4 linked regions of the Lepisosteus oculatus genome follow. The main gene of each other region encodes a partner of the protein of the gene in region 2 in a complex. Links are inferred from orthologs where the notes say so. Each region holds a gene or a part of one and is shown on either strand. Other genes may lie near its edges.

The links.
Region 1: cnot11 (region 2) and cnot9 share a complex: the UniProt entries of both Homo sapiens proteins name them as parts of the CCR4-NOT complex. The link is inferred for Lepisosteus oculatus from reciprocal best matches to the Homo sapiens genes CNOT11 and CNOT9.
Region 3: cnot11 (region 2) and cnot10 share a complex: the UniProt entries of both Homo sapiens proteins name them as parts of the CCR4-NOT complex. The link is inferred for Lepisosteus oculatus from reciprocal best matches to the Homo sapiens genes CNOT11 and CNOT10.
Region 4: cnot11 (region 2) and cnot8 share a complex: the UniProt entries of both Homo sapiens proteins name them as parts of the CCR4-NOT complex. The link is inferred for Lepisosteus oculatus from reciprocal best matches to the Homo sapiens genes CNOT11 and CNOT8.

Annotation. Positions count from the first base shown.
Region 1 is NC_090707.1:21,038,927-21,045,836, reverse strand, and holds the start of cnot9 (CCR4-NOT transcription complex subunit 9), read right to left. Parts: upstream 3,017-6,910; 5' UTR 2,871-3,016; coding exon 2,853-2,870; intron 56-2,852; coding exon 1-55. Other genes in the region: usp37 (ubiquitin carboxyl-terminal hydrolase 37), read left to right, coding at 5,957-6,118. UniProt on the Homo sapiens protein: Component of the CCR4-NOT complex which is one of the major cellular mRNA deadenylases and is linked to various cellular processes including bulk mRNA degradation, miRNA-mediated repression, translational repression during translational initiation and general transcription regulation.
Region 2 is NC_090710.1:31,025,744-31,033,300, forward strand, and holds the start of cnot11 (CCR4-NOT transcription complex subunit 11), read right to left. Parts: upstream 3,010-7,557; 5' UTR 2,666-3,009; coding exon 2,347-2,665; intron 1,852-2,346; coding exon 1,687-1,851; intron 1,098-1,686; coding exon 945-1,097; intron 404-944; coding exon 201-403; intron 1-200. Other genes in the region: rpl31 (large ribosomal subunit protein eL31), read left to right, coding at 4,452-4,558, 4,961-5,086, 6,170-6,282. UniProt on the Homo sapiens protein: Component of the CCR4-NOT complex which is one of the major cellular mRNA deadenylases and is linked to various cellular processes including bulk mRNA degradation, miRNA-mediated repression, translational repression during translational initiation and general transcription regulation.
Region 3 is NC_090705.1:42,669,460-42,677,008, reverse strand, and holds the start of cnot10 (CCR4-NOT transcription complex subunit 10), read right to left. Parts: upstream 3,019-7,549; 5' UTR 2,751-3,018; coding exon 2,732-2,750; intron 1,912-2,731; coding exon 1,814-1,911; intron 1,283-1,813; coding exon 1,121-1,282; intron 1,040-1,120; coding exon 889-1,039; intron 1-888. UniProt on the Homo sapiens protein: Component of the CCR4-NOT complex which is one of the major cellular mRNA deadenylases and is linked to various cellular processes including bulk mRNA degradation, miRNA-mediated repression, translational repression during translational initiation and general transcription regulation.
Region 4 is NC_090706.1:40,669,744-40,677,425, forward strand, and holds the start of cnot8 (CCR4-NOT transcription complex subunit 8), read right to left. Parts: upstream 3,009-7,682; 5' UTR 2,876-3,008; intron 2,746-2,875; exon of another isoform or gene 2,594-2,745; intron 2,051-2,593; 5' UTR 1,972-2,050; coding exon 1,855-1,971; intron 1,124-1,854; coding exon 930-1,123; intron 307-929; coding exon 145-306; intron 1-144. Other genes in the region: protein FAM114A2, read right to left, coding at 6,767-6,868, 7,188-7,241. UniProt on the Homo sapiens protein: Has 3'-5' poly(A) exoribonuclease activity for synthetic poly(A) RNA substrate. Its function seems to be partially redundant with that of CNOT7.

The sequences.
Region 1 (6,910 bases), on a different chromosome or scaffold from region 2:
TGATCCATTGATAGATCTTCTCCCTATCCACTTGCGCCAGCGCTGTGGTTACAGCCTGCAAGGAAAGAATGCAGACGGTCTGAGAGAATGGAGCCTACAAACGGATTTTGATATTTGGATTTTTGCTACTGTAATAATGAAAACCATTTAAAACACTTTAGGTACTGTAGACTGCCATTTGTAAAGCTTTCAAATGGTATCTCCTTTCCAACACAGTGCAACAACAATACATGAAAAATAATCTCACCATAAAAAGTTAAAACAGTAAGATGACAGCACTGTGATAACAAATTATATTAACCTGCTATAGAACAGCTACATCTAACTGTATCATCTATATCTATGTAAGCTAAGACAGATATAGTAGATACAGTTAGATTTTAATTACAGCTAACATAGTCCTGTACTACTCTGACTTGTGTTTGGTTTTGTAATTGAAACATGTTTAGGGTTACCATATTGTTTTTTCCCCCAGACATGTCCTCCTCTGTAGGCCTTAGATCTCTGTCTGGGAGGAATTTTCAAATCTTAATATCTTCCTCTTAATATCTTTGTCTCCAAAGGTTTTGAATGTGAAATGGAGTGCTGATTATTCGTGAGCAAGACTATGTATTGGTTATAGTTGGAGTGTCTAGTTTTCTGCCCCATTCAATTTTCATTCCAAAGAGAGAGGATTTTTCCCAAAACCTCCACACTGGCTCAGCCACAGCACTAATTTCAGTATCTTATCTGATTCTGGACTGCGCACAGTAGCTTTTGCTCAAGAGAGCTTTATTTGATTTTTTTACTTTGCTATCCCTAAACACAATGCCAAACCAAAAATACTCATTCACTTCAGAAGTAAAGACAATATTGCTATGTTTTCCAAGCAGGATAGAAGAATGAGAAGCTGAGTGCTTGGTATGTAGACCTGGTACTTCTGTGGTAGACAAAGGTGCAAATGATTTACAAGTTTGTGTGGACTCACACAAGCATGAGAAAGCAGTTGGAGAGGAGAGCTCATCATCAAAAATGGCAGATTATGTTTTATAACCAGACAGCAAATCAGGTAATCCAGCAAATCCAGGGTTTATAGATTTTGAATGTCCTAAGCTATTTTCTCATGGCACGACATAACTGTCATTTTTTCCAGACATTACAAGACTGATACAGTTTCCAGCTTTTAACTCCTCATTTTTGTTATAGGACAAACCACCTACTCTGATCAAGACATTCTGAGTATGAATTAAGTGAGTGTTACCTCTGAGCATTCATGAGTTTATTCCAAACATATATCCAAGAAACTGAAAGGGAAAACAGCTCTGTCTTGGAAGTGATAACAAGCTTGATTCTAATATTCCCAAGTAAGGGACTACTGGCAGAAAATGCACATGGAAGGATCTGTTGAAGAGTGTGACACATTATGTGATAAAACAGATAATCTGTATAGTAAATCCTCAGAATATTTCAAGACGTAGAAGAGGTCCCTTGAAGACTTCTCTTGTTTTAAACAAATTGTCCTGAGTGAAACACTGAATTGGGCTGATGTGGAACCTTGCGTCAAAGATCTGATTGATAAGGAGGCAGTAACTGATGCTGTGAAGTATTTTGATTAGGTCAATAATCTAAAGAAATTGATAGGAGGTTGAGATAATAATGAAGAATTTAATCACACCAGATGTGGATCAAATACTTTGAAAAGTAAAAAAAAAACACCAAGTGGAACTCAGTGCTATTAAAGCCGCATACTTCTTCTTTGCTGTTCCTACTCAAGATAGGAATGTAAAGTGAGGTTTTCCACACATGTAAAGCCAGTGGACAAGGTAAAACAACTTGAAAAGGATATTACTTGTTCCATACAATTTCAGCCAAACCTCTAGCAAAGACTTCCACAACGTCTTCTCTCCTGCTGAGAAACCTGCTTTCTACATAGACATTTGCTTGGGCACATCAGGAGGAAGACTACTTAAGGACTGGTGAAGGAAAAGGACTACATATAAAGAGATACAGTAAAATTTGAATAAAGTATCTCTGAGGCCATAACGGTTTTTATAATTTTGCAGATCAATATAGACTTATAGACGAAACGTAGTACACAGAATATACAACCGTAATACAACTAATAAAGGTCTAATAGATAATGGTACAAATAGCCCTCTCGAAGGAGTGTACCCCTTTTTTAAATGTTCAAATATGGTAACCCTTATCAAGCTCTCAATGTCTGATTATCAACAGAATTATGAAAAAGCACTAGGAAAACAATTTAAAAAGGTATTTGTTTACACCCTTAATGTAGTGTCGGGATTCTAAAAATGCAGAGCAAAAAACATAAAATGACAACATCCATACTAAACACTAGTTCCACCAACCAGTCCCTTCTCAATACAATACAACATTTCAAGTTGACCTGCTGCTAAAACTTCACTTCATCAGTTTTTAATCAGTCTTTGTAGTCCACTGGCATTAAGTTGAATTATCTGGTGTATATATATAAAATACAAGGTGTCGGTTTACTCGCACTTAAACTGCATCTAGAAAACAACCTACAAGTTTTGTAACTACATCGTCCACCAGTATGAAATTCCACCATGCCGTTGTTTTTCTCACAGACCTGAACTGCCTCCTGTGTATGATGCTTCCGTAGTTTTTAACCCCTGTACTGAATACCCTTTTTTGCATTAGAAAGAGAATATTTTAAACCCACTCTCTAAAATAAACAGTACAAATAAATATTTAACAAACTTTATCGGATCGTGAAATCACTTAACAGCCAATCGAGTCTTTAAGGAGTCCCTACACTTGCGTCAAAATTTTAAATTTCACCGAGGCCTAGAGCATCTTCAGGAATAAAGTACTTTTAAATAAAATCTTACCGCCCCTGTAGCCAACATTCTCTGAAGCGCCTGGATATGATCGCCTGAATGTTGCGGAGTCCCTATTTTAATTCCGTTGGATTTCTTTACTTTCTTTTAATATTAATATATGCTCTGTTTCCAAAAACAGAGAGAAAAATCCAGCAAGCGCCGGAATTGTAACCTCTGACCTTTCACCTCGCGCGCACATTTCCGAAAAAAAAAAAACAAACTACAATAATTGATAAGGTTGCAGTTATTGTTTTACACCGATCTATACAAATGCTACATTCGTATAGTTTTAGGATTTTAACAAAATATTAAATAAAATCGAAAACAAATTAAAGAGATATAATTTGATTCTGCGTGACCTCTCAACTTTGCGTTGCCAATATTTGGGTTACATAACTGAATAGAAATATAAATGTATTGCACAAGTCCCTGACATATATTTCACAAGGGCTGGCCAATATTTTATTTAATTATTTTTTCCTGATATAAAAAAATCTAGACATGTCTTACATGCCGTAAGATTATTTAATTATAAGAGCTTCTTTTGACAAATGGTTTGATGAGATTCTTGGATCGATTTGCTATTAACTACCAAACAATGTAGAGGAGCTGAATGGCTTCCACTCCTTCAAAAGCTTAAGTTTTTAATCAAACCTATAGAGCATATTAAGTTATGTATTTCAGTAGGCTTTATTCCTACACTAAAAATTACGTGTGTTTTCACCCGCTCTACACTGTTAATTTTTTTGTATTAAAAATAAGAAAAAAAATGAAAGTATGTTAGCAGTCTTTTACAAATAGCAATCTTTCAGCCCCGGACCCACTGTCTAGACTCCAAAGTAAACTAGTTTATTGTAATGTATTTATTGTCCCACAGTGCTTTTTAAAATATTAGGGGTCCTCATTGAGACATACTTCTTTAAAGAGAATTCCCCAGCCAGAAGCAAGAAAACTTTTGAAAACGTTTAGTTTTTCTCTTGAATTACACCACAATATTAAGGGATTATGGGAGTTCCAAAATTATCTATGTGCGCTCAAGTCTATGCTCCATTAAAGGAGAAAAAAAAGGTTTCCACATTTTATACTTAAAGCAGGTAAGAATATTTATAGGTTTAAAAGTAACCAACCCCTTGACCCCTGTAAACTACAGTACAGGAAGAAAACCAAGGCACTGCGCAGCTTCTCGCCATGCCACTCTGTCGCGCGATACCACAGCGCATGTTCTCGCGCCGGGTTTCCGTTGTTGATTTTCACGTTCCCGCCATCATACACACCGGTGGGGCTGCGTTTTGGACCGACTGTCAACGATAACAACATAGTTGCTACCGGAGGCCGGCCACACGGCTACCAGCCCGTAGGAGACGAGAGGGGAGTATACGCAAAATATAGGAAAGCGTGGAAACCGAACGCTTTCTTTTGCACGTAAGACATTATTCGTTGTAATTGCCGGAGTCCTGCGTTCCTCCTCTTCTTGTTATTCAAATTACTGACAGTGGCTGTCATTATCCCGGCCTTTAATGTGATTGCCGGTTTTCGTTATCCCTGCCCACGACGACGTTCCAGAAAACGGAATCTCCCGAAACCTGGGGGTAGTTCCGTTCTAAATAAATGTTGCCGGAGAAAGTGGCGATGTATGGGTCTGAGAAGATGGGGACTGTCGTGCACGTCCAGGGCTGTTTGTGTGTTCTTGTTAAAATGCATCGCCTCTTTGAAACCAGCTTTTCACTCTCGTGTCTATTTTTTTCGTCGCCGTTGAATTTCGGGCTGTTTGCTCTCAGTCTTGTCCCTGTGATTTCCCTTCACGAACTTCAAGAAAAGTGCCATTTCTCGGACACACGCAAAAAAGTAACACTTGGAAATCTTCGCAGTTCGAAATACGGCGAAGCAGCACGATTTGCGGGCGCATCTGTTTTAATTCAGTATTTGTGATTCCTGACCTGTATTGTGGAATAAATTGTACTTCGCTATTGGCCTCTGTGCACGTGTGTCTTTGCAGTCTGTTGTGGGCAGCTCCCCGTGATTTTCTCAGACACTTAACAGCAGAGGACAGTAGTTTGGTGACTGTATGTGAAAGCTGTTTGATTTCTGCAATAGCACGGGCCCCATCTATGGTATCCTCAATCGTTTAAAGATCTGGTGTAGTAAGATACGCTTAGCATATTTTACTCATTGCATTCTTTTGTGCGTTAGATTTGGTTTTGCTAGTCGCAATGGTCTGGTGCTTAGATTCCATGCTGTATCGTTTAAAAGCGATGGTTCTGAATGAGTGTGAAAATACTGTAAGCGCGTCTCACACAACGATCAGTGGACTTCGGCTTCCCCGTGTTAAGTCAAAAGTGTTTCAATGCACGGCTTTGAATCCGCCTCCCCTGAAAGGTGCTCCGTATCTGTTAAATAATGTTCCACAGTTTGCCAAAATTAATGTTCCTGCATGTTTGTAATTACTACGTCTATCCGCAGTGCTTGCAATTTTGGTGGGATGTGTCATGCTCTCCTGCCTCCCAAGACATGAAGTGTTTAGACATCAGCACATGTTCTGATAATAGTTATAGAGCAGGGGTTTTGAAAATATTTTAAGCCATCATTGATCAAAACGAAAGCAAAAAAGGCTGGGAATTTATCTGTAGAACTTTCATGGGCTGCAGCTGCATCTTTGGATGTCACATTGGTGAAGTCCTTCTCCCATGGCAATTAGATTCACCCCAGAACGTTATTATTTTGATTTGTCACTAGTCTGGTGTGTTGCTTCATTCTTTGTATACACCACCTGTCATTTTGATTATAACCCCAAGAAATGTTTAGCTATTGGTGTTTTAATACTGAACACGGACAAGGATGTTGTGAACCAGCTGTTTTTAGGCAATTATGTAATGTTTGTGCTTCCCATGAAAAATGATGTATAGGTCCATAATGAATTTAAGAGTATAAAAAATATAGTACTAGTATGAATAAGCACAAGAAAAGTTTCTATCCTCAAAAGTATTACAAGTAACCTTAAATGAGCTGTCTAACTGGAAACCTTCTGTTAAATGTTCAGGTTTTACATAGGGCTGTCCATTGGCCCAGGTGTCACTTGAAGATCCAGTGACCCAGTGTCTGTTGTGCTTCAAGCCATGGCAGCCACTGTGCCAAAACTGTTAGGCAGCGTCCGGATCAACAGCCTGCAACTGGGTACCACCAAGTGGAAGGAAGGAAGCTTTGAGATCCACGAGAAGGACAACAAAGTCAACCTCTTTGTGAGGTTCAACAGTGGAGGAGTCCCCAAAATATTTCAGGTACAGTTTACTTGTCTTTCAGATCGAAAGAGCTTCATGTGTTTCACCCTACCTCTGTTAGGAATGAGGTTGAAGAAAACAGATGGTAAATTTGTACTATTTTCCTAAATTGTGCTGTTTTGCCTGTTCTTTAAGGCATGTTAGCATATGGTGCACTTACTAAACGGTACATATATATGGTTGTACAGGATCTTCCAGATTTATCCAAACGCTTGTTGAAATAGGAACAAAATACATCATTTAATGGAAAGCTGTAATACATACTTTAATCTTATTAGCATTGCACAAAGCAAAGTCATATTTGTCATAATCAAGTTCCGAAAGTACAAGGATCACTTTTATTCACATTCCCGTAGTGAGTATTTTTTTAATCCTCCTCTGGCATAGATTACACTGGCACCTCCTGCAGTGTGCTGTATAGTTCTGGTGCTTCTTATAGAAGATTTCTGAGCACTTCTCCAGGCAGAAGTATTCCGGGTCCTTAAGATGATTGTTTTTTTTTTGTGAACTGCCTTCTATAGTTCAAACCACAAATGTTAGATTGGTTTGGTGACTGGTAATATAGATTGCCAGTCAAGAACATTTACTTTGTGTTCTGTTAACCATTCGTTTGCTGGTTTGGATGTATACTGTTCTCTCAGTGTGAGCTTCCCCTTTTTTATACCAAACAGAATGCTAATGAGCATGCACAAGTCTTAATTTTTATTTAATTTTTAACTTTCATTACATCAGACAACATTGAATGTCAGTTTTCTATACTTTGTATCCCGAAGATGCCAGTTTGGGTTGGAG
Region 2 (7,557 bases):
TTATAACGGGTTAGAAACAAAGCACACCCACCTCTGCAAAGCCTGAGACACTGATCCTTACCGTCAAATCACTCAACAGTACCCTTGCAGTTACGGTAAGTTTAAGTGCAGGTCGGGTGAATTAAGTTCACATTCAGCTCATTCTCGACAGGACGGGCAGACCACAGCTGTCTCTGCTCGGGCCCGGAGCGCGGGCGTACCTGCGACTGCTGCTGTGACGACAGGGGGCTCTTGAAGGCCTTGGACATGATGCGTTTGATCTCCACTCCCGTGCTGTTCTTCACGCACATGGAGCGGTCCCACTGCACGCCGTGATCGGGCTCCGAGGGGTTCAGCCAGGCCAGCTCGTCCTCGCACACGTGGAGAGGGGGGGGAGGCCGGATGAACTCGGGGCGAAAGTGGCCTGAACACATGAAGATGAAGGCAATGGGATGAGGCAGGAGTAATGATCCGAAAGAACTGGATTTCTACTCGAGCACAGCCAAGCAACATGAACACTAGGGCTCCATGTGTGTCTTACTGATCTAACCTTAAGAAGTAGTTTGAGTAAAGTTATACTTTATATACTTAAGATAAGTATACAATTTCTTGCATTTGGAATCCGTCTTTTCACATACCCCAACTTGCTCTCCATGAGACACACAGACAGGGAGAGAAGCTGGGGGTCAGAGCGCAGGGTCAGCCATTGTATGGCACCCCTGGAGCAGCTGGGGTGAAGGACCTTGCACAGGGGCCCAACAGAGTAGGATTCCTCTGCCGGCTGCAGGATTTGAACCGGCAACCTTCCAGCCACATGCACAGATCCTGAGCCACAGAGCCACCGCAACGCCCATACTTGCAATTTGCCAATATCTAAACCTAGTGTACATGCTTTTTATGTACAGATCTCCATTTTGTGTTCTTCAATCCTTTTATAGTGTGATAAAGGAAGGAGTGAGACTTACTTTCCAGTGGTGGGCGTGGCCCGCTGACCAGGGCCTCTGTGATCTGATTGGCCACTGAGCTGTCAAATCCAGAATTAGAGGAATCCGGATCAGGATCGTTAAGAATGCTGGGAAAACTCGCCTTACTTTGCGTGGGGAGTTCAGACTGTCGCTCTGAGGGAAAGAAAAGAAACTCAAAACTCCTTCCACTTTCTAACAGATTTTATCCACTACAGGGTCAGGAGGGGCAAAGTCAAAAGTATTATAGTAAAAGAAGCTGTGCTAACACAATTTTTACCACCAGGTAATAAAGTAGTTTAGACTGGTTGGTACATACCTACAGGAAACATCTGAATCTCCTTAAATCAATAAGCTACTAGCAGCAGAGTGGATCTGATACATGAGACACTCTTCTTAAAAGTGCAACCCAACTTTTGACCTTACAATCTTAACCAAAACGAATTTCATTCAAGGTGAGCATACTTCCATATGAATCCCTTATAAACTCCGTCCTTCATTTTTACCACGTGTGTGGCAGACTGGGCACAACACAGAGTCATATCCAGCTGGTGCTTCTGAAAGTGAGCTGGCAGGTTCACTTGACAGACTGGCACACTTAACAGTATAACACAGACAATAACTACTTTCACCCCTCACTCTAGAGCTAATATGCCAACACTAGAGGTGCCCAGTGACTCAATAGGGCCACTACTGAGTGTCAGAACATTATTACATCCATAGGTAACTCCTACAGTCCACATACCTGCCAGAGCCAGCTGCAGGCCGCTAATATCCACTGACTGGGGCATGTTCCCTACGTCCATGCAGGACACCTGCCGGGGCGTCTTTTTGAAAAGCTCTTTCGGGGGCGCCAGCATGAGCTGGGAGAGGAAGAATTTCTCCGGCAACGTTATAGGAGGGAGGAATCCTGTGAAGGAAAGAGAGGATCAGCAGCGGCCGGCGGTCGTGAAACTAGTTTTGCCTCTTTCCCGCTGGGTGGCCGGGGTGAGAGCGGTCGCAAAAACCCTCGCCAGCAATGAGCGCTTTTCTGATCGCGGCAGAAACAAAATTAAGGGGGAGAGACAACAATACTTGTGTCGATATATCTGGCCAATGCGCGTCCGCGAAACACAAAATGGTCAAACACGTTTAACGTAACGTGTCTTTCTGACACACATAATCCATCCCCGCTAACTCGTAGCTCCGTTCAAGCTACCCGGGACCCGGGACTGTGCCGGATGAAAAGGTAACAGGCGTCCGTCCCCCCATCCCCCCATCCCCTCAGACTCCAGCCGGTCCTCATAAACTCGCATTCGGGTGTTTTGTCCTCGAACCGCTGCCGGTCTGCCCGAGGGGGACGGCGGAAGCAGCCCGTCACCGGAGCGCGGCTCAGCGAGGGCCAGGCTGCCCGGGGAGAGCTCACCCGAGAGCGGCTTCTCCTGCTCGTCTCCCACCGGCGGCGGGTTCAGCAGGTGAGCGAAGACGGCGGCGAAGGGGTTGGCCGCCAGCGGCTCGGTGCGGTACATCTCCCAGAGCAGGTAGAGGGCGGTCAGGCGCTGCGGGGAGCTGGGCAGCAGGTCCGGCTGCTGCAGCAGCATCACCAGCACCGAGCCCACTCGGAAGTGGTCGGCTTTGCCGAAGTAGTGGTGGAATGCGGACGAGAGGCCCTCGAAGGAGTTGGTACAGGCTTCCTCGGAGATGATCCCCAGGAGATTGGAGAGCTCCTTCGGGGCAAGTGTCATTGTGCTCCAGGGGAGGTGTTGTTTTTCGTAAAAGAAACACCACACAAAGTCAAGCCGAATCAGTCGCCCCCGAGTGTTTTCAGCAACGCGGGCTGGTCATATTACCAGCCCACACGGTCTTGCTGCTTGAAACGATGTACAGCCGCCCTCTTCCAAGCTCTTCCCATGAAAAGAAACATACAGACACGACCAGGCGACGGTTTTATTACATGAATATCTAACAAAAACCTCAAAGTCTACCATTCATTAACATAAGAACTCCACGACTAGAAACAAAACACCCCAATCGTTTTGAAGGTTTCTAAATACGGCACTGTCGTCAGGTTGTTTTTTACGACAGGAGGCGCTGCGGAGACTTCTGGGAAATGTAGTCGGATGTGTCCATTCGATTTCCTTACCTGTGTATCATACAAATAAACATACACACAGAGATTAAACGACAGGAAATTTAAAGCAACGAGTTGTGTATTTTAATGTTGATCAAAGAAGTAATGTATACATAAATGTAGGTCCCACATCTTCATTATGTCTTAAATTCCATCTCCATATATTTATATCAATATATTTTAATTATTTTCTAAACCACAAATATATCCTCAGAACCTATTTGTACAAGTATTTTCTAGGTAGCCTTGACTCTTCTATCCTGTTACAGTAAAAACACATTACAGTCAAATCAGACTCGGAGTTGCCGAATAAGGTGTAAATATCGCTCACAGACGGGCTTTTGGACTTGCATCAACGAAACTATTTCCTAACTACAATATAGTTACAACTTTTATTACCACCTCATTGTGAGGCTCTGTATCGTTCCTCTAATTTTGAGCTGGCAAAGCAGTACGGACCTCATTTTTATTTACTGTGTTTAAACTTTTTTCATAATGTGTATTTGTATTGTAATATGTACCCCTGACGATGTTATTGATATGTTATATGTTCTTTTGTTTGTATTGTATTGTATTTGTTATTATTGTTGTTGTCTAAAAACAATTGAGCTGTCAGCCGAGTCTGTCTTTGCCCCGGAAGTGATTGTTCTTCCGCAGGTTTAGTACTACCCAGAATCCTCAACTCCTTCCTTTCCGACATTTTCCTTGGAAGAGTGAGTACATTGAGAATTCAACCGCCTGTAAAATCCGACTTCATCCTGCCTTTCCTGACGCCTAATTTTTCGTTTTAACCACAGATATGCGTAGAATTGTACATAAATAATAAAAGTATGACAGTATTTCGAAGTGATGTGCATAAATGTACGAGAAACGCCCGCTATGTTAAAAGCTGACTTGCCGCTACAGATCTGGAGTTAACTCATACCCGGCTCTGTGCATACGGCTGAAAACCCTGACAGACTGTACTTGTGCCCTGGCTGTTCAGTATTCAGTCATTTTAAGTCTAAAGCAAGCGAAGTTGTGCTGGTCTTTAAGAGTTTGTGTGTAATGGGGCCAGAAAACCGATCGGCACACGTTTAAGTTGCCTACATTTGCTTTTGCATGTGATATTAAATGCGTTTTGTGAAACACGACGGATTCCTGGCACGGGTGCTGTGAGTGTGGTTGTTACCGAGGTGTATAGGACCAACACGGCCTAGACTGTGATCAGATGGCTGCAGCTTTAGAGCGGTCTGGAGGTGCCGTGGAAACAGCCCGCTGTCCGTCAGGAAGTGCTGTATTAAAATTTCATACATTTATTAAAAACCTTCTTGCCGGGACTTGATTAGAAAGGCTGCGGTTTTGCTTCACGCAAGGGAAAGGCGGTTCTCCCCCGTGTTCTGACACCCCTGTCTGTTCAGATGGCTCCCATTAAGAAAGGAGGCGAGAAGAAGAAGGGCCGCTCCGCCATCAACGAGGTGGTGACCAGGGAATACACCATCAACATCCACAAGCGCATCCATGGAGTGTGAGTCCTCGGGGTCGGGGGGGTCTGAATAGGCTTGAGGTGCTGTGTTTGTGCTAGGGGGGTTGTGGAGCCAGAGCAGTTGCAGATATCTTGCTGCTCGTCTTAAAGGGCTGATTATTGTTGTGTTGTTCATTTGAATGTCGTAAACTTGTTTCAAGTGGCATAGAGGCCCCTGCACTCTTTCACACCCCCGCTTTCCTGCCCTGACCCTTCGGCTTCTCGGACTCCCCCCCCACCTCCATCATGTCGTGTCCACGGGCCGTGTTGTGACTGGCGGTGGCCGTTTCCCCTGAGCCAGCGCTTCGGTCTGTGCGGCTGTGCTCCGTTCGCCACGGAGCGAAAAAAAAAACGTGTCTCTGGCGGACCTCCAGCGAGACCGGGTCTCCCTCTTCTGTTCCCCAGCGGCTTCAAGAGGCGAGCCCCCCGCGCGCTGAAGGAGATCCGCAAGTTCGCCGTCAAGGAGATGGGGACCCCCGACGTGCGCATCGACACGCGCCTGAACAAGGCGGTGTGGACCAAAGGCGTGAGGTACGCGTCCCCCAGCAAGCCTCCAGCAGGGAGAGCGGTGGCTCTGTGGCTCAGGATCTGTGCCTGTGGCTGGAAGGTTGCCGGTTCAAATCCCTCGGCCGGCAGAGGAATCCTACTCCCTCGGGCCCCTGAGCAAGGCCCTTAACCCCAGCTGCTCCAGGGGCACCGTATCAATGGCTGACCCTGTGCTCTGACCCCAAGCATCTCTCTCCCTGTCTGTGTGTCTCATGGAGAGCAAGCTGGGGTATGAGAAAAGACGAATTCCTAATGCAAGAAATTGTACGGGGCTAATAAAGAAACATTACATTAACATTACATTAGGGCCAGGAGCGGTTTTGTTACTTTATAATGAACCCTTAGCAGGCGAGGGCTCATCCTTGTTTTGTGAACAAGAACAGAAAACCTTTTTGCAAACGAGGCAAGTCCCGGTTTGGCTAGGCGACAGCGTCTGAGGTGACATTTTCATATTCCAGCGGTGAAACAGAAAATCCAGGAACAGACCGTTTGATCCCTCTAGCCCAGTTGGCAGTATTTACTTGCACTAGGAGTCTTATCCCGCCTTTTCACCTTTAGCACCATGGTTTGGTGGCTTGTTAACTACCCCTGCAGCTCTTTGGGTAAAGAGTTGTCTCCTGTTATAACTGTACTTCCCCCTCGTTTCCACTTGGGACCCCTGGTTTGTATTTTACTGTTTACTAATGTGATCATTTTGTCTTTGATGATTAGATGTGCTTTTTTATCTAGTCTTCTTGTATTGTTCTTTGGTAGTTCACTTTTTTCACTGTGCAGAATAATTTTTATTGCTGGCAACATGTCAAGAAACGTAAATTGCAACTGCTGATGATTACCCATACTTGGAAGTAAGAAGACGAAACTTGTGTCCTAAAGAATAAAAGTAATGCAGGAACCATTTCTCCTTGGGCTACTTTGATAAGCTGTTGCATTCATATGGCTTCAGTTACCGTGGTCCTTAGTAACCGTAGAACAAGTGTGCAGCACTTTCTCTGAGCCATGACACTGTTTTCTGAGAGGTTTGCTTGACTCACTTACGCCTGGCTCTTTTCTGGGGTGGTGGGCTTGAAGGAACGTGCCCTATCGAATCCGCGTGCGTCTGTCCAGGAAGCGCAACGAGGACGAGGACTCTCCCAACAAACTGTACACGCTGGTCACATACGTTCCTGTCACCACGTACAAAGGTAAGCCACAGGTCGGAAGCAGACGTGAATTAAGAGGGCGCAGTGTGTCCCATCCCTCGGTTTGCAGTTTCAACTTGAGACAGTTTGGCTGAAAAGACTGATTACTGGGAGACAGATCTCATCCGTGAATCTCATGGTACTCTGTCCTTTCGAAGGGTGACCCACCTAGGCCTCTACGACACTTAATTTTTTGCAGAATGTTTGTCATGAAAACAGTTTCTCAAAGTGAGGTGCTAATCATCTTGCACTTCAAAATTGATTTGGCATTTTTTGCCTTAGAAATCATGGTCGTCGTGGATGACTGTTTCTATAGCTTTTTCCAGGAGAGTTAACCAATGTGTAGGTAGGTCATTCGAATGGTGACTGAACTACATCTTGGTACACTATCCTATTGTATTTTTGCAAGACATCAAAATATTGTTTGAAATTAATACTTTTGTTCTTAAAAATTCATATACTTTTGTGTCATTGCTAAAGCAAGGCGAAGAATATTATTTCCTAGAGTCAGGGTGGACAGAATACCCGTGCAATCTGCATGAGCAGAAACGTGTATCCTGTTTGCTTCTAGTGGAACTGTAGTGCAGTGCTTGTTCATTATGTTCCCTTGTGGAGGATTATGGTGGTTGAAAAAGGAGAGAATGTTGTCATGCAAAAAGCATTGCAAAGAGGTTGAGTGTTCTTAGAGGGGGAAAAAAGGCAGCTTGTATCAAATAAAAGTGATTGAGAAAAGATCTAAGTTGGTACCCCAAGTGTCCTTTGAGCTGCCTTGCTGCAGATGTTGTCCAGTCACCTTATGCAGTGCGTGTGACAGCCAGGCATGGCTCTGGCGGAGAATGTGGCACTGGAACGCGGGGCGGTCTGTTGAAGTCCACCTCAGCCAGGCGGGCCAAATCCCCTACCTGTCAGCGGCTGCACAGTGAAGAGGCGGGTCGGGCTGGACCCCCAGCTCTGCATTTCAGAACGTTTTCTGGATTGCAGCTTGAAGTAGAGGGATGGGCTGCGGTCTAGTGTCGAGTCCAGTCGGCATCGGACACCCACACCGGAGGAGTGCGTGTGGGAGACCGCTGGGCTCTTGTGACCCGCGTGGCCCATGTGCTTCTGTGGTGGCCCTTACCTGTCTTGGTGCGCTGATACAGTTTTGTTAACTGTTGGGGTTTGTTTTTAATACAAAGCACTGAACTAGTGCTAAAAGACAGTAGAGCCGGCGTCTTCAAGTAGGAGCTGGAGTCTTCAGGTAACCTTCACGTGCTGAAGGTGTCCGAATCCTTTTTTTTT
Region 3 (7,549 bases), on a different chromosome or scaffold from region 2:
AACTACTGCATTACCCATTTTATTGTCAAGATACCTATCACAATGTTGCAGTCCTGTAGCAGCACACATATTTATCAACTTAAACATGTACTGTCTACAAAGACAACAGTTTAACTACATGCACTCCATTTCTATCCATATTATACATGTGTTTAATAGGTTATATTAGAATTATGCATATACCTAGAATCAACAGAATATTTATCACTTACAACTGCAAACAGTTTACAGTCAATATTCGGCAAAAGACAATTCCAGATATACTTTGAAGCAGACGCACTGACAGTTATTGATACAATTGACATAGGATGATTAATATTTGTCAGTGGGAGACTGCCACCAGTAGTAGTAGTAAAATACTGCCATTGCTGAATTTTGCATACAGCTCCTATCTAAAAGCTGGTTAAAATTATTGTTCCTGTTCCCGTCTCCAAGAATTGTGATGTCATCTGTTATTCCATTTGTCATGCGAGGAAAACACACAAGTAAGCATTTCATTGTACACGGGTAGATATGAAAATAAACTTGAGCTTGACTTCTACTGGAAACTTAACAGGCTAGCAGGTATATTGGTTCCTTTCCATATTTTTCTTTTAGGTTTGACAATCCTGAGGTTAAATTAACTCATCACATGAGCCCATTCAAATTAATCTTAATTTTGAATATATAATCTATACCTAAAATGTATTTTCCAAAACTATGCATGCATTAAAACAGTGAGAAGTTTCTTTTTTACTCTTATAAAAATAAACAAACATTCTATGTACTCTTTTCCTATTAGACCTGAAGAATACTATAAGTGAAATGAAAACCATTTGCATCCTCTGAATCTAGGTTATATTCATATCATACAAATACACATATTTAGAAAAAGACCGAGACACATACCAAACGGTTCCAAAAACTGATAAAGTTTCTCTCCTACTGCAATAGCTTCCGAGTACTGACGCATGTGGTATAGGACAATGGCTTGATTGTAGTAAAGAATGCTGTTTTCCACATCATCCAAACCGTCCATTTCTTCTACTGCAGCATGAACCTAGGTCAAACAAAGGTGCTTTAATTTAATTTAGGTGCAAAGGAAAGTCTGTTGAAGAGAGGTTTCCTTTCAGCAGGTTACCTGATTTTTCATTGTGGCAAGTGCCTGCTTTAAAGTGTCAGTAGTAGTTTGGCCACTTTTGTAAAATTCAGCAATGGCCTTGTTCATGGCAATTTTGTAGTCATCCTTGTTCCATTCTTGAAGGTGCTCAAGGTGTTTCACGCATTCATCATAACTTCCAGACTAAAAGAAAAAGCAAAAATTGACCGTCAAGCAGAAATCAAATAACAGCGCCGGATAAAAATAAAAAAACGTTGTAAACCTTTTAATTTTATCTACAGAAAAGGTGACACAACTCTCTGAACATGTTCACACCTAAAAGGCAGCCAATAATGAAGCCATCTCAGTATCAGTATAGCACAGAAAATAGTTTAAACATGGAGCAAGTGGAGGTTAACATATTAAACATGACTGCAAACTCATTTAAACAACACACTCAGGGGTGGCCGTGCCTACAGCTCAGTCACAATGCACTTAATATCTTCAGCATCAGTTTATGTTTTCAAATTATGGAAAATTTCACAATACAGCATGTAAAACTAAATCCATGTAACAATCTGTGAAATTATGCTGTTACATCTAAAACATATATCAAGAGAGCAAGAGCACTGAACGTTTATCAAAGTCACTGCAATATGTAAGATTTGTTTCTAATAGTTTTTCCTAAGCCCTTCTTTTACGAATTACACAGTTCTGTCAAATACCACACATTACCGAAAATGCTTGAAAAGCACTGGCGGCGAGTTCTTTTTCCCGATCTGTGATCCCAGAAGAAGCTGAATTGTTCTCGTGTTTTGCCTCATTGCCTTGCTCTATACAAAAAAAAAGACAAAAAGGGTTAATTATGATTAACTTAAAATATTATGCACCGCTAAATAAAAATAAGCTTTAATTTTATCCATGGTTCTGGAACCCCCCTCCCAGCAAATCTACACGGCCATCATGTTCTCAATGTTTTCAGCACTTCATCTGGGCTCTCTCTCACCAAACACCACAGCAGCAACACAGTACAAAGAACAAACTTCTGTTCATGACCTTCATACATTTTCTAACTGCTTTCTCCAAGACAGGTCGCCTAGGAGCCGGTACCTATCCCTTTGCTTAAGATTAAGTTTAGGAACCAGCACATCTGTTCGTTGTCGTTTAAGATATCCCTTAAATAGCTCTTCGCATAAGTGCAAACTTAATTCACATAATTATAGGATTAATCTAAACTCTTAAAAAAAAACTTTAGACGGCGCGGGACCACCGCAGAGCAGTCAGATACGAGAGAAAGACACAAACGTCACCGTCATCTCCACAGCTGTACGCGACATTTTAAAATCTGAGGAAATTGAAAGCATAGCTGTGCCAACGGAGATGCTTCCCGGGTATAAAAAGTTAACCAGTATAAAAAGCGGGTTAACTGTACACACAGAGTATATCCTGAATATCCTGAATAAAAGACCACAGACATTGATATACATAACATAAACTAACAGAAATATGCTTCACTTCATTACTGACTCCACATAAGTCACTATACATCTACCCATCTAGAGAATAGCTGTTCTTTTAAACATAAGTTATTTAAATATTTTATTATCGATAGAGCAAAAAGCTGCTTTTAATACAAAGTCGTAATATATATACCTGTTGTGTTATCTGCCATTTCCTCGGTTTATTTACCCAGTGTGCAGACAGCTGTCTATTACGGATTCTTATTACGTTCTGAGAATGTAACCGTCTCAAAGCTTCAGAGCGCTTATAAGTCTTCAAGTCAAAACGCGTTCCAATTTGCAAACTGTAAATGTCACTTTCCTTTAAATCACAAAATACATTTAGAAAATTTCTTCAAGAGGAATGAGATGCGATTTTACGGTCAGGGAATTTCAAATCACAAATCGCTCTCAGATGTCCGCCATGAAAATTACCCACAAGCGCCCCCGCACTCAGACGCAAGAGATTTACGTCATCAGGTTCGTCTGTCAGCGGAGCGCAACAGCGACGCCTGTCGCCGTGGAGGCCGCTGAAAAGTCTTTCTAATGGTTTAAAGCCAATTAAAAGGCCAATTAAGCATCGAATAACGAAAACACTGTGATCTTGACTCCCCCTCGGTTTGCACGTCTTTGAAGGGGATGTGAATGTATTATTGTGTTTGTTAAATGCATCCTGTAACAGCCAATGCAGCAGACAAAATAGCACTCCAAACTCTTATTTTTTCACAGTACATTTTTTCCTGTCATCAGATAACCCAACTGCCCGTGCAGTTTATTTTTCCCCAGTAGAAACCGTAAAATGTTAAACTGGTATGTGTGCACTCCAAAATGACATGCACAGATTATTCAATGGACTGTAGAGCCTAACATAGTGCTTAGACACTCTGCAGTAACTGAACACTTTTCTTCAGTCCACACTAGTCACACAATCAATTTGTATGTGGCTCAGCCACTCAAGCTAAATAGTGCTCTGATTAATCAACAGAGTCTCTTAATTAGTTCCACAAATGCAGACAATTACAGCTGTTTCAAAATGTAAATGTATGCTTTTCCTTTGTAACATCGTAAAATGAGCTGTTGAAATCGGCAACAAAATATGTTAATGATGTATTTAAAAAAAACAGAAAAATCAATGTCTTTGAAAATAACAATGCAAATACAAACCGTGGAGCCCTAAAACAGAGTAGTACCTCTTCTAGTAATGTGCATGCCTAACAGCACCTCCCAGTTAGCGGCCTCTTCATTTCAGTCATCTATACCAGACGTTGTATCAATACGAATGTCCCTGTATAATCAATCCCTGAATTCTACCAGCAATGACTTAAAAAAGGGCTCATGTTTTTCATCCAGAGTCTGAATAAATCGCAGCTGGGGGCTCTTCTCAGAAGTGCTACTGCAGTGTGCCAGCTCTTGATGAAAGCTTGACTTTCCTCCTAAACGTATGTGAACTAATGAGATGAAAAGTATCTATACAGAGTATAGATAAAGTAGTATACATACATACTGTATAAAGTAGTATACAAAAGCACATATTATACTGTATATTAATTTAAAGATCTCACTGGACATTGTTAAATCGCAACACAATGAAGCTTGGTGTTGTGTGATAAATCAAACCCTAGTCAGACTTGGTGTACCTTCTGGAGAAGATGAGGGCATTTTAGCATTTGCAGCAAAAACAAAGAATTGATCTGCTCCTCGTGAGTTGCAGTTCCTGAAGAGATAATTCAGTTATAAGAATGCATTACTTTATTTTATCCATTGGATGTCAGTATTTGACCATTGGCTCAATCAGCCCCTCTCATCTCCCCAAACTGGCAAAGTGGATTTTAAAAGGAATTCTTCAGACCAGGTCTTAGAACCCCCCGTGTCCACTGGCTTTTATCCAGCTCATCTCTTTATTATAAAATCAAATTTCAGAATTAAGAAATAATGTAATAATTAAACAGTTTTGAGTGTTTTCTGTAACTGCAAGGGATGTTAGAATTAACTCAAATATTTCAATTAATATTAACTAAAAATGTACAGAAATGTGGAAATTAGGGCAGCAAACTTAGGAGCAGTGAGCAGGTGAAAAGGTCTCAATTAGTTCAATTAAGTAACTGATGTCAATTCTATTGGCAAGGACCATGAAGGAAAAAGTAGGCCTCAATCAGTAATTCCCTCCCAGTTTACTGTAATAGTGAGTTTTTCTAAACTTGTCATTCAAATTGGGACAAAAGCATGAAAAATTAACTTGAAAAGCTATGGCCATAAAAAACAAAGCATTAAGTAGGGCCTTAATCTTTTGTTTTATGATTTAATGCAAAAACCTCTCTGTGGTACTGCAGAGCATCTTAAATTTTATGACAGCGTCACATATTATCTTTATTATACTTCACACATCTGATCGCCTCCTGTCTAATGGAGAAATGGCAGAGTCTGAACATCCCAGCTCTGTAAAATCTAAATCACTCCAAGCAGCAGTGCAGCTGCAGACATTGTGAAGCAGATCTGCACCACACAATCAATAACAGGGTGTCATTACACAGATGGGAAAGCTTTGACGCAAATTCTGAATTTCCTACGCAATACATTTCCAGTGCTTTCAGGAGGCAGAAGACAAGTTTCAGGGGGAAAATGTCAATCACTGAACAGTAGATAGTGGAAGATGAGAGGCAGCACAAGATGAAACAGGCCAGAATCAAGGATTGTTATGTAATTTTTGTTAACCAGAAGATGAGATGTGTATGTGTGGGAATAAAAAATGTAAACTGTACAATTTAAAGTATTTATTTCTGAACTAACTTTTAAAATACTTACATATTAGAAGAGATGTAATAGTATTTAATAGCTGGTGTTTCAGATTTTTTATGCTGTTTGATTTTGTTTTAGTCTTATGGGCTGTATTTTTCATTTTCCAGCTGCTTCATAGCTTTTGGTAGCATAGATAACATAGATATTCAGATGCCTGGCTTCCAGACTACACTCAAGTGTGATGTGGTCTAGGGATTTTAAATTGATGGGTATTAAAAATACAACAGATGCTTTTGCTTCCATTTTTAATGCTTCCCAGTATATATTAACTTGATAGACCATTTCCTTTTTGGCAAAATACAGTGACATCAGGAGGTGTGAAAAAGTGATATCCTTACATAATAGTTATTCTTAAAGGTAAGTTTGTTATTTCATGTTCAGGTATAGTTATGTTCTCAGGAGAATGCATTTTAAGTAACACAAAGTTACAGTTATTACGGATTTAAAAAATGTATTACTAGATAACGTTATTTGGGAAGATACAGAACAATTACTCAATTTCTCAAAATAAAAATCATAATATTTTATGTATTAATAGTATTTTGCAACATTGGTTATTTTTCAGGAGCAATGATGTGATGCATTCTGTAAAGTACAGTAGGAACCCTAAACACCAGATGATCTAATTGGGCTGAATGAACTCCCCTCGTTTGTAACCATTATAATGTTCAGAGCTACTAAATTCAAAGGTAAACCTGTACCATACCCGGATTTCTTAAATGTATTCAGTGTTGCTCTATTAGCAAAGCAAACCACTTGTCTTTAACAACGTCAGCACAAATACAAGAAAACATCATTCTGGCATGTTTGTGTTGTGTGGATGATAACAAGGGATTCAATTAACACATAAAATGCGATTCTGTTTCTTATTACTGATGGATTCCATCTCCAGACTTTTTAAAGGTTTACAGCTTTGTGTAAGTGTCGGATTTTCCGTGCAAGAAGTGGAAAAGCAGATTTTTCTTCTGTAAGTTGCGTTGCAAACAGCAGAACAAAATGCCAGAGAACTGAATTTAGCTGAGCAATTAACACATTTCATTTTTTCCCCATTTTCCTCTTAAGGGAGGGGTGCATACTGCATAGGTTGTTTATCCATTAACTTTGTGAGTAGAAATCGCCGTCACGGAGCGTTTTTCAGGACCCCGTGCAGACGGCGGAATCCGGAAGGGAGTGAAACAAACACGGGAAAGACGACTGGGATCGGGGCTGGGAGAAGAACAGGGGGGCGTGTCGGCGGTGCACTGGTGCTGGGGGGGGCGTGGCCAAGGCAAACGAGTCCAAATCCAGGGTGAGCAAAAGTCCAGAGCCGGGTAATCCATCCATCCATGACAGGAGTTAAAAGCCGGAGCGGGATCCGGCGAAGGGTCGGGGGAATAAAAAGGGGTAAAGGGGTAACGGGGCCAAGCGCTCCAAGCCCCGGACCCGTCAAGGGGCTTGCCTCTCCCAGAGCTGAACCTTGAATGGTGGGAGCGTCTGGCTTTTGTAGGGAGGGGCTGGAACAGGGGGCAGGTGCAAAAAAATCAAGAGAAACAAGAAAGAGCCGGAGCGTCCTTAATCGTGACAATCGTTCCATTTGTCAGTAAAAATCCAAAACCTATTTAATCATTGCTTGTAATTTTTGCACTGAATTATTTAATCCCTGCTTAAAATTTGTTGAAGACTGTGATTATCCTTATTACTTATATTTTATGGTTTGAGCTGCCATAGTTAAAAGCTACATCAATCAGCCAGGTTACTTTATATTAGCTGTTAAAGTATGACTTATTCTAATGTACTGTAGCTTTAATGGCATGTTCACAGAACTCTTGAAAATAGAGGCTGTGCCAGTTCGGTTTTCCTTTCGAAAAGTCTGTATAAAGATTCTAGTGACGAGCAGCAATTTGCTCACTCCATACAGTATGATAAATGTCACACTTTTGCAAGAATCTTTTTAAATGAAAAATTGGAACCACTGATTATTTTTTATTATTATTATTATTTTATTATTTGGAATCCCCAGTTGTTGTTTTCTGAGAGCTGTCTCTCGGGAGACACCGCGACTCACAGACACGTTCCCCTGACAGGCCCACCAGCAGACAGGAGGTGCAGCACTGACTGGAGGACAGGCACATCTGCCACTGACGCCACGGCCAGCCTGCAGCCCTCCCATGAGCTACCGTCCGCTGGGACGACTGCT
Region 4 (7,682 bases), on a different chromosome or scaffold from region 2:
AGCAAGACAAACCGGAAACGAGGCACCGGCATTGCCAGTGCTGGATCGTGTCAACGCTGCACAACCCGTTATTCCCTATATCTAAAGCTCCTCTATTAACTCCTTGACAGTAATATACTATCACCTTACTCTCAGGTCTCTTACCTGTGAAAGGAGAGCCACTTGACATTTTCACACAGCACTAAGCCAGATGTCATCAGGAGTTCGGCAAAGTAAAGTGTGTCGATTCCCTCTTCCTCGTGCTTCTTAAACTGAAGCCCCGAGTTCTGCAGAAGATCTATAGAATCCTGAGAGTACATGTCCTCCCTGAAACGGCAAACCAAAGTGACTTTCGCCCACACCATCAAAGCACAGACATCAAACATGCCCACGTCAGCGCAGGAGCGTTATTAAAACCCAGGAGCTGTCGTTGGCAACACAGATCTGTTACAAAGCAATTCAAAAGAGCCCGATAGCTTTCTCGAGATGCCTAAGGATCACGTACCGCCTCCATCTGAAAAGAGCATGGAGAACGTACAACCTGAACTGGGAAAGCAGGACGCAGTTGACTAGTGATCTGGTTTTAAAAGATCTTAAATATGAGAAATTCATCAAACTGCAAAGGTTTTTCTATTATTGAAATAAGATGGTAAATTTGTGGATTTTATCTTCACTGCAGTGCAGCATTATACTGTATTTTGTATATGATGTCTCGTATTTTTTCTACCTCTATTATTTCAAGCAGACCAGAGAAAATTCTTAACAGATGGGTTGATCCGGCATAAACTTTTCAGTGTAAACCGATGAGATGTTTTTTCGGGCAGACACGGCGGTGAAGCAGAGGGTTAGACAGGGCTGCGTAATGAAGAGCGCGGAGGAAGACACGGCCCGCGAGGCCCGGATCACGGCGGCGGCGTTGTCGGCGTCGGCCCGCAGGGGTTCTCACGTACGTGAGGTTGAACTTGAAGTTGAACTGCCAGGTGGTGGTCCCGGGCGGGTAGTCCCCGCTCTCGTTCATGAAGGTGAGGCCCAGCTGGATGATCTTCAGCAGGTCCACGTTGCAGCGCAGCAGCTGGTACTGGTAGTCGACGGTGCTCCTGAACTCGCCGATGGGCCGCACCACCACGCCGGGGAACTCCGTGTCCTGGGGAAGCACAGGCAGAGCACAGCTCACCCTCCCCGCACTCCCGCGTGGGGCAGCCTGCTCCCTCAGCAGGACGGAGGAGGACATGCCCTGCAGCCTCAGGGAGGTGAGGACACCACGCGGGCACCTGCTGCCCGGGCCCACCAACTAAACCAACCCAGCGGACAGTTTCAGAGTGGTCAGTGAGACACGAACTTACCCAGAAGTGTATTTAAAACTGAGAACAAGAGGCACTTTTTTTTTTAACCCAGAAGGTTCAGAGAGTCTGGGACAAGCTACCCCACCACCTGCTTGAAGATGATACTTGGGCTTTTCAAGAAAACAGCAGGGTGAGGCCCCGGGATCAATAATAACGCTACCGAACTGGCCAGTTGGGTCGTACGGCCTCCTCAATGAAATGGCGTCCCACAATGAAACAGACTTAGAACACCCATATTTAACAGGTTCTTCAGGGACTGGGGACAGAGTAACCTATAAACAACCAATACAACTGCAACTAACACCAGCTTTCCGTATGAAGACATGCTTGTCCTGCCTGCTAGCACTTTGTAAATGATGCTGTGAAATTTGAATCTTGTGAGAAAGTTGTCTGGGAGGACAGTCAGACATGGCCAGTTACAATCTGTTACCATCACCAAAGACACACCAACTAATATTTCGCTGGAACCGTTGTCCTTTCTGACAATAATTAACAACGCAGGCTTTTCCCTAAACCCAAACCCAGTAGTTACCATGGCGATGTAGTTGTAACTCTGAATAATTTGTCGGATTTTCCTCATTTCCTCTTCCACATTGCTGGCCCAAACTTCGCAGATAATCTGGCTGGTATCTGCAAGCGCGGCAGGCATGTTGCGCGGTCGGGGAAAATGACTGAAAACTCCCGGGAAACCTCTGAACCACCCAGGAAGACGGGCTCTCAGGCAAACCCTGAAACGCAGAAAGACACAGATAAAACTCGGTGTCGTCGTTCCGTTTGAAGACGAAATCAAACGGCTGCCGTCTGACCATGATACTGGTATTCAATTGGACACTGTTATCAGATACCGATTTTAAAAGAAAGTTATGACCACGTGTGGATTGTTAATTCATTCAAGAACTGCAGGCTTCTAGTTGCAAAATATCTAGGTGCTACATTTTATTGTGGAACACTGCATGTCATTTTACATCCCCCGTATGACAAAGAGACTCGTCAGATATTTTTTTAGAAACGAATAAGCCCACAAACATCAGATCTGCTTTTTTGATCCCAGCGGCTTCAGATACAGGATTTAATAGGACGCAGAAGTACCCGACTCCAGCAGAACTTTTGACATTAAGAACACACGGGTCTACTGATAAGTGACTTGCAGGAAGGAAGGGTGTTTGTAAAGCGATTTAATGTCCTTCTGAACGCAAGAAGATGATGCCATTATGAAAAACAAGCCGCAGAAACAGTCAACGCGCGTTAACCCCCCCGGAAACCAAAACAACCTCGGCTTTCGAGAAAAGCAACCGCAAGGGACTTGATTTTCATCTGGAGTGACGCGTCAACGCTATCACCCATCTGTTTGACGTGGAAATGCTATGTTTAATGCGGACAGAAGCAAGAACGCGTTCTGTTTTTATTCTGCGACGGCTCTCGCGTTACTTCAGGGCCGCGTAACCCCAACCTCAACCTCAACCCCAGCCGGTAGCCATCACGGCTCCGTCCGCTTCCCACAAGAGGCGAAAGGCCCGGCGCTCCTGATCATCTCAGGCGCTTCCGTGAAGTACCTGGTCAGCTCTACTTCGGTAATTCCCTCAGTTTATACTGAAGCTGCCGCTTGATCCTGGTCCCCTTGTCGAAAGCGAGCACGGCGCAGTAGTAGCTCCGCGCAGGCGCAGTAGTAGCTCCGCGCAGGCGCACTGACAGCCCCTCTCACCCCTGACCCGGTTACGATAGTGCGGCGCAGTCACGTGGGAGGGCGGCCTACCCGCTGCTGCAGCGAGAGAAGCGTCTGTATAGGATCCCGGGACCGAGATGTGTACTGATGGAAAAAAGAAACGCAATATTGTCTGCAATGAGAATACTGTAGTTATAGCTTATGTACTTTCACAAAAAGATGTCAATTTGATTCAAGCCCTCTGATCAGCAGTACAGCTTGTGCAGTGAGGCATTGCAACTTGCCAATCACACAAAAGTTTGTTAGGTGCACTTTTACCCAAGGGGATCCAGGTGGAACAATGCCTGATCAGGTCACCTTTAAAAGAGCCTTAATTAAAAGCTTAGGTCACTGCAAGAAAAGGCCACACTTAGTCAGTTTTCTGTGCATTCCGTAATGCCTCGAATGTCACCAGAAGCAAGGGAGAGGGCCATGGGCATGCAGCAGGCAGGCCTGTCCTGTGGCAGCGTTGCCAGACACTATGGGGTAAGCCACTCCACTGTGTCCCGACTGCGGAAGGTTCAGCAGACCAGCAGGACAGATGACTGTCCAAGATCCGGTCGCCCTTGGGTGACCACACCCGAGCAGGACCGACACATCAGACTGGTCCATCTGAGAGATTGTTTCAGATCTGCCACCCGTACTGCTGCTGAAGCTGCCAGCAGACACAATGCCTGCATCAGTGACAGGACAGTGAGGCTCCAGGCTGCTGGCCTTAGAGGAAGATGAGCTGTCAGAGGCCCTCTGCTCACAGACTGTACGTCACCCCGACTGGCTTGGGCCAGACAGAGGCTGCGATGGACTCGTCAGCAGTGGCATCAGGTCCTCCTCACGGATGAGTCACTCTTCAGCCCGTTCCACGCAGTGTGGAGGAGGAGGTGTTGCGTTTCTTTTTTCCATCAGTAAATATTAGGAATTAGTTCGAGGGAGCTGTGTCAGCAGGTGTAGGCTACAAAGGAATGAGTACAGGTTTATTCCAGCTGAAAAGAGAAGAAAAGAAACAACGTTTCGGCTGTGGAGCCTTCTCAACAGCTGAAACACTGACACCTGAAGAAGGAAACAAACTCTCGGGCCTTGACACCCAAGAAGGCTCCACTGCCGAAACGTTGTGTTTCTTCTTTTCAGCAAGGAACAAACCTTTACTTGTTCCTATATTAGGAAATGTTTTGATCCATGAGAGCCCCAGTCCAACATGTTTTGGAGGTAAACATGAAGTCGACAAGATGCTTTGACCTCAGCAAAACAGGTGGTTTGTTAAATTTAGCATTAAGAACAAAACTGAATACTTTTCATTCTCTGGATGGAGAGAAACTCTGATTACAATGAGGGTTCTAATCCTGGAGTCCTTCTTGTTTGACAAAAGGAAGGAAAGGTTTTCTTCTGTATATTGCTAGAGCACTGGTTCCCAGCCAAGACTGTGCTTTTCATTCCGGCTGAACTCTGAATGTCCAGTGCTAATAGATGTCATAACTGATCTGCTCACTTGTTTAGATCTTTATGTTGTTCTTCAGTCAGTCCTGCTATATCAGAAATACCCCACTTCAGGGGCCCTCTGTCAGACACAGATCTTTATAACATCTGAAGTAAATGTAATTGGACACACCCACAGTGGGAATGACCCTGTAATTAGATACACCACAGTGGGAGTGACCCTGTGATCAGACACACCCACAGAGGGAGTGACCCTGTGATCAGACACACCCACAGAGGGAGTGACTCTTAATTGGACACATGGACAGTGGGGGGGGTGAGTTGACCCTGGAATTGGACACACCCACAGAGGGAGTGACCCTGTGATCAGACACACCCACAGAGGGAGTGGCCCTGTGATCAGACACACCCACAGACACGCACATACTCACACCAGGACCAGTTTTCCCAGAATCCAATTAACCCACCACTATGTACCTGGACTGTGGGAGGAAACCAGCATAGTACTATACAAAGGCAGCTCAAACAGCTCAAACAGGATATCTTTTATTGCTTACCAATACAACATGCTCACTGATAACAGCTCAGCCTCATTACAACGCTCTTGTTGAGGGAGGGGCTGTCAAAGTCTAATAGCAGGGTGCTTGGAATATCCCTTCCATTTTATCAATTAAATAGGATTTCATTTTTATCTAACTGGTAACATTTTTACACACTTTTTACCAATTGTCTAATAAAACAATCCTTACTGCTACAATACTGTAATACAGAGCCCTGACAAATTCATGTTAATGTATATAAACATAAATACCGTTACGTAAAAAACGATACTTTTAATATTTTAGTATTTTTTGGTTAGTTGATGGTTAAGTGCAAATGCACAGTACAGTGTATAAGAGGAGAACACTGCATAATTCTAAGAGAAGGAAGAGACAGAATAGTTAAAACCAGCTGTGATATTGTGAACATTAAATACTACGTGCTTTTCATACTGTAGCTTTACTCTAAAAATACACTTCATGTAAGAGAATTGAATTCAATACAATAAAAAAATACAACAGGACTCGTTGGCCTTAACATGTAGCTAGTTCAATACAAGTACAAACACATAACATAAATATATACAGAAGGAGCTACCAGGTTTGGCAATTTACTGTAGCCTTACACAGTGTCTCTCAGTGTCCATCAAGCAGCTCAGGAGTAGCTTTGCTACATTTTTAAAATGCATGTTTCTTGTGGTTTCAGTAAAAATATCTGAATTGCACTGCAGTCATGTTCCCTGTCTGTACCAGCTCATACTTTCCTGTGTGACAAATTTGCCAGCAGCCCCCTCTCTCCTGCTGCAACTGTTTCAATGGGCACTGCAGTCCATACTCACATCTGGATCGTGGGCGCTATACAGAGAACTGAGTCTTAATTTTAATCATGTTTAAATCCCACCAGGAGTCAAGGGGCAATGGTGGTGTATGTAGGATAACTGTACAACGAGGCGCATCATAGCAAAGCTGTACAACTGACTAATGTACACTTCAACGCTTCACAATCTTCACAAAGGACAGTGTTTTGTTACTAAAAAAAAAATGAAAGCACACTCCCAGATGAAACTTTCAAAAATATCACTTAACATTCGATCCTCAGCACTTTTTTTTAGAGAAGTGCTGAAATTATTAATATAGGAGTTAAATTTTTGAAAATAACTAAATGATTTTTAGTTTTCAAATTCACAGGTTTCCTTGGCACACTGCACATGGAACAAACTCTTTTCCTATTTACACTAAGGCTAACGAAATCAAATCTCTTACATTTTAAACAGATTATGCTGTAAAATAGTTGAATTTCAGCAATACTTTAAGTGAGAGGTGCTGATAAAAAGGACCTGCAAAAGAACTGACTAGCAACATTACTGCATTTAACAGCAACCGAATTCTACCTACTTCTAACTCCACAAAAACAAAAATTAGTTTGAATTATGTAAAGGTAAAACCTACACTTTTACCACACTGCATTTCAGATTGTGTCCTCAAGGTGTACTACAACCTACTGTAGTTAAGTAGCTCAGACTCTCTGGCACCACACACACATTACACTCAAGTAATTAATCAGGTGTGCTGCAGTAAATCATTCTGGGTACCTATGATCTGATATTGTGGTTCTGTTCATTCTCACAGGTGTCAGGCATACAGAACAGGTTTCCATCTCGCCAGGTTTATTGACTGTCGGTTTATCTTGAGCAGGATAGCAGAAACGATGGCCGGGTCAGACACACCGCGGCCCACCTCCGGCTTTGGCACAGGTGAGCTCCAAGCGCTGCTCACAGCTGTGCGGAGTTTGTACAGGTCTGGATGTGGGCGATCTCTAATACTGGCAGCAACAGCTGGAAGGCATCCTGGACATAAGACGCACTGTTGGAAGCCTGGGGGAAAATCAGTCACAGACACACTAAATAAACTACACGATCATCGTGGAGCAAAGAGAAAATATTGAAGTTTGTTTTTTTTCTGTACTCGTGATTGTACACTCTTAATTCTTTGTCCAGACAGCAAATGCATTCTTGGTTTTTTTCCTAATTTATTGCAAGATATTTTCGAACTGACAAATCTTTAAAGTTACAATGCCTTTGTAAATTGGGGTCAACGCAACAGCAGTAGCTCGGCTTCTGGTCATATTTTCAATCCAACTGGTAAATATTAAGAATTAAAAAAGACATACTGAAAGATACCAAAATTACCTACCTCTAGAAAGACTCCTGTGATCAATGGATTGAGTACATCACCCTTTTCATTCGACTGGAAAAAAAATAAAACTTGTATATTACTATGGCTGAAATTACAATTTCAGAAATTTTAATTTCTGAGTGTCAAATATCAATGAGTCTCAATATGATCATTATAAAATAAGTATGGGCCTTCTGCTACTTCAAATGCAACAAAGTAAACAGCACGGAATATTAATCCTAATAAAGAAAGAAAGTTGATATGTGCTGATATTTAATTATATAGCATGTTTTATGATACAGTGCTACGTGTCACCCCTTAATCAGACAGTATGTGTAACTCCAGGAATTATATACATCCCACCATCTGGGTATCAAATACAAACTGCATTAAATATACGACCTGTGACCATTATGATACACTGCTAGAATTAAAAAATTGTGATCCGTAGATGTTTTCCCTCTGCACAGAATCTTCCACCACTATTGACAAGAGATAATCTTGCCAGCACTG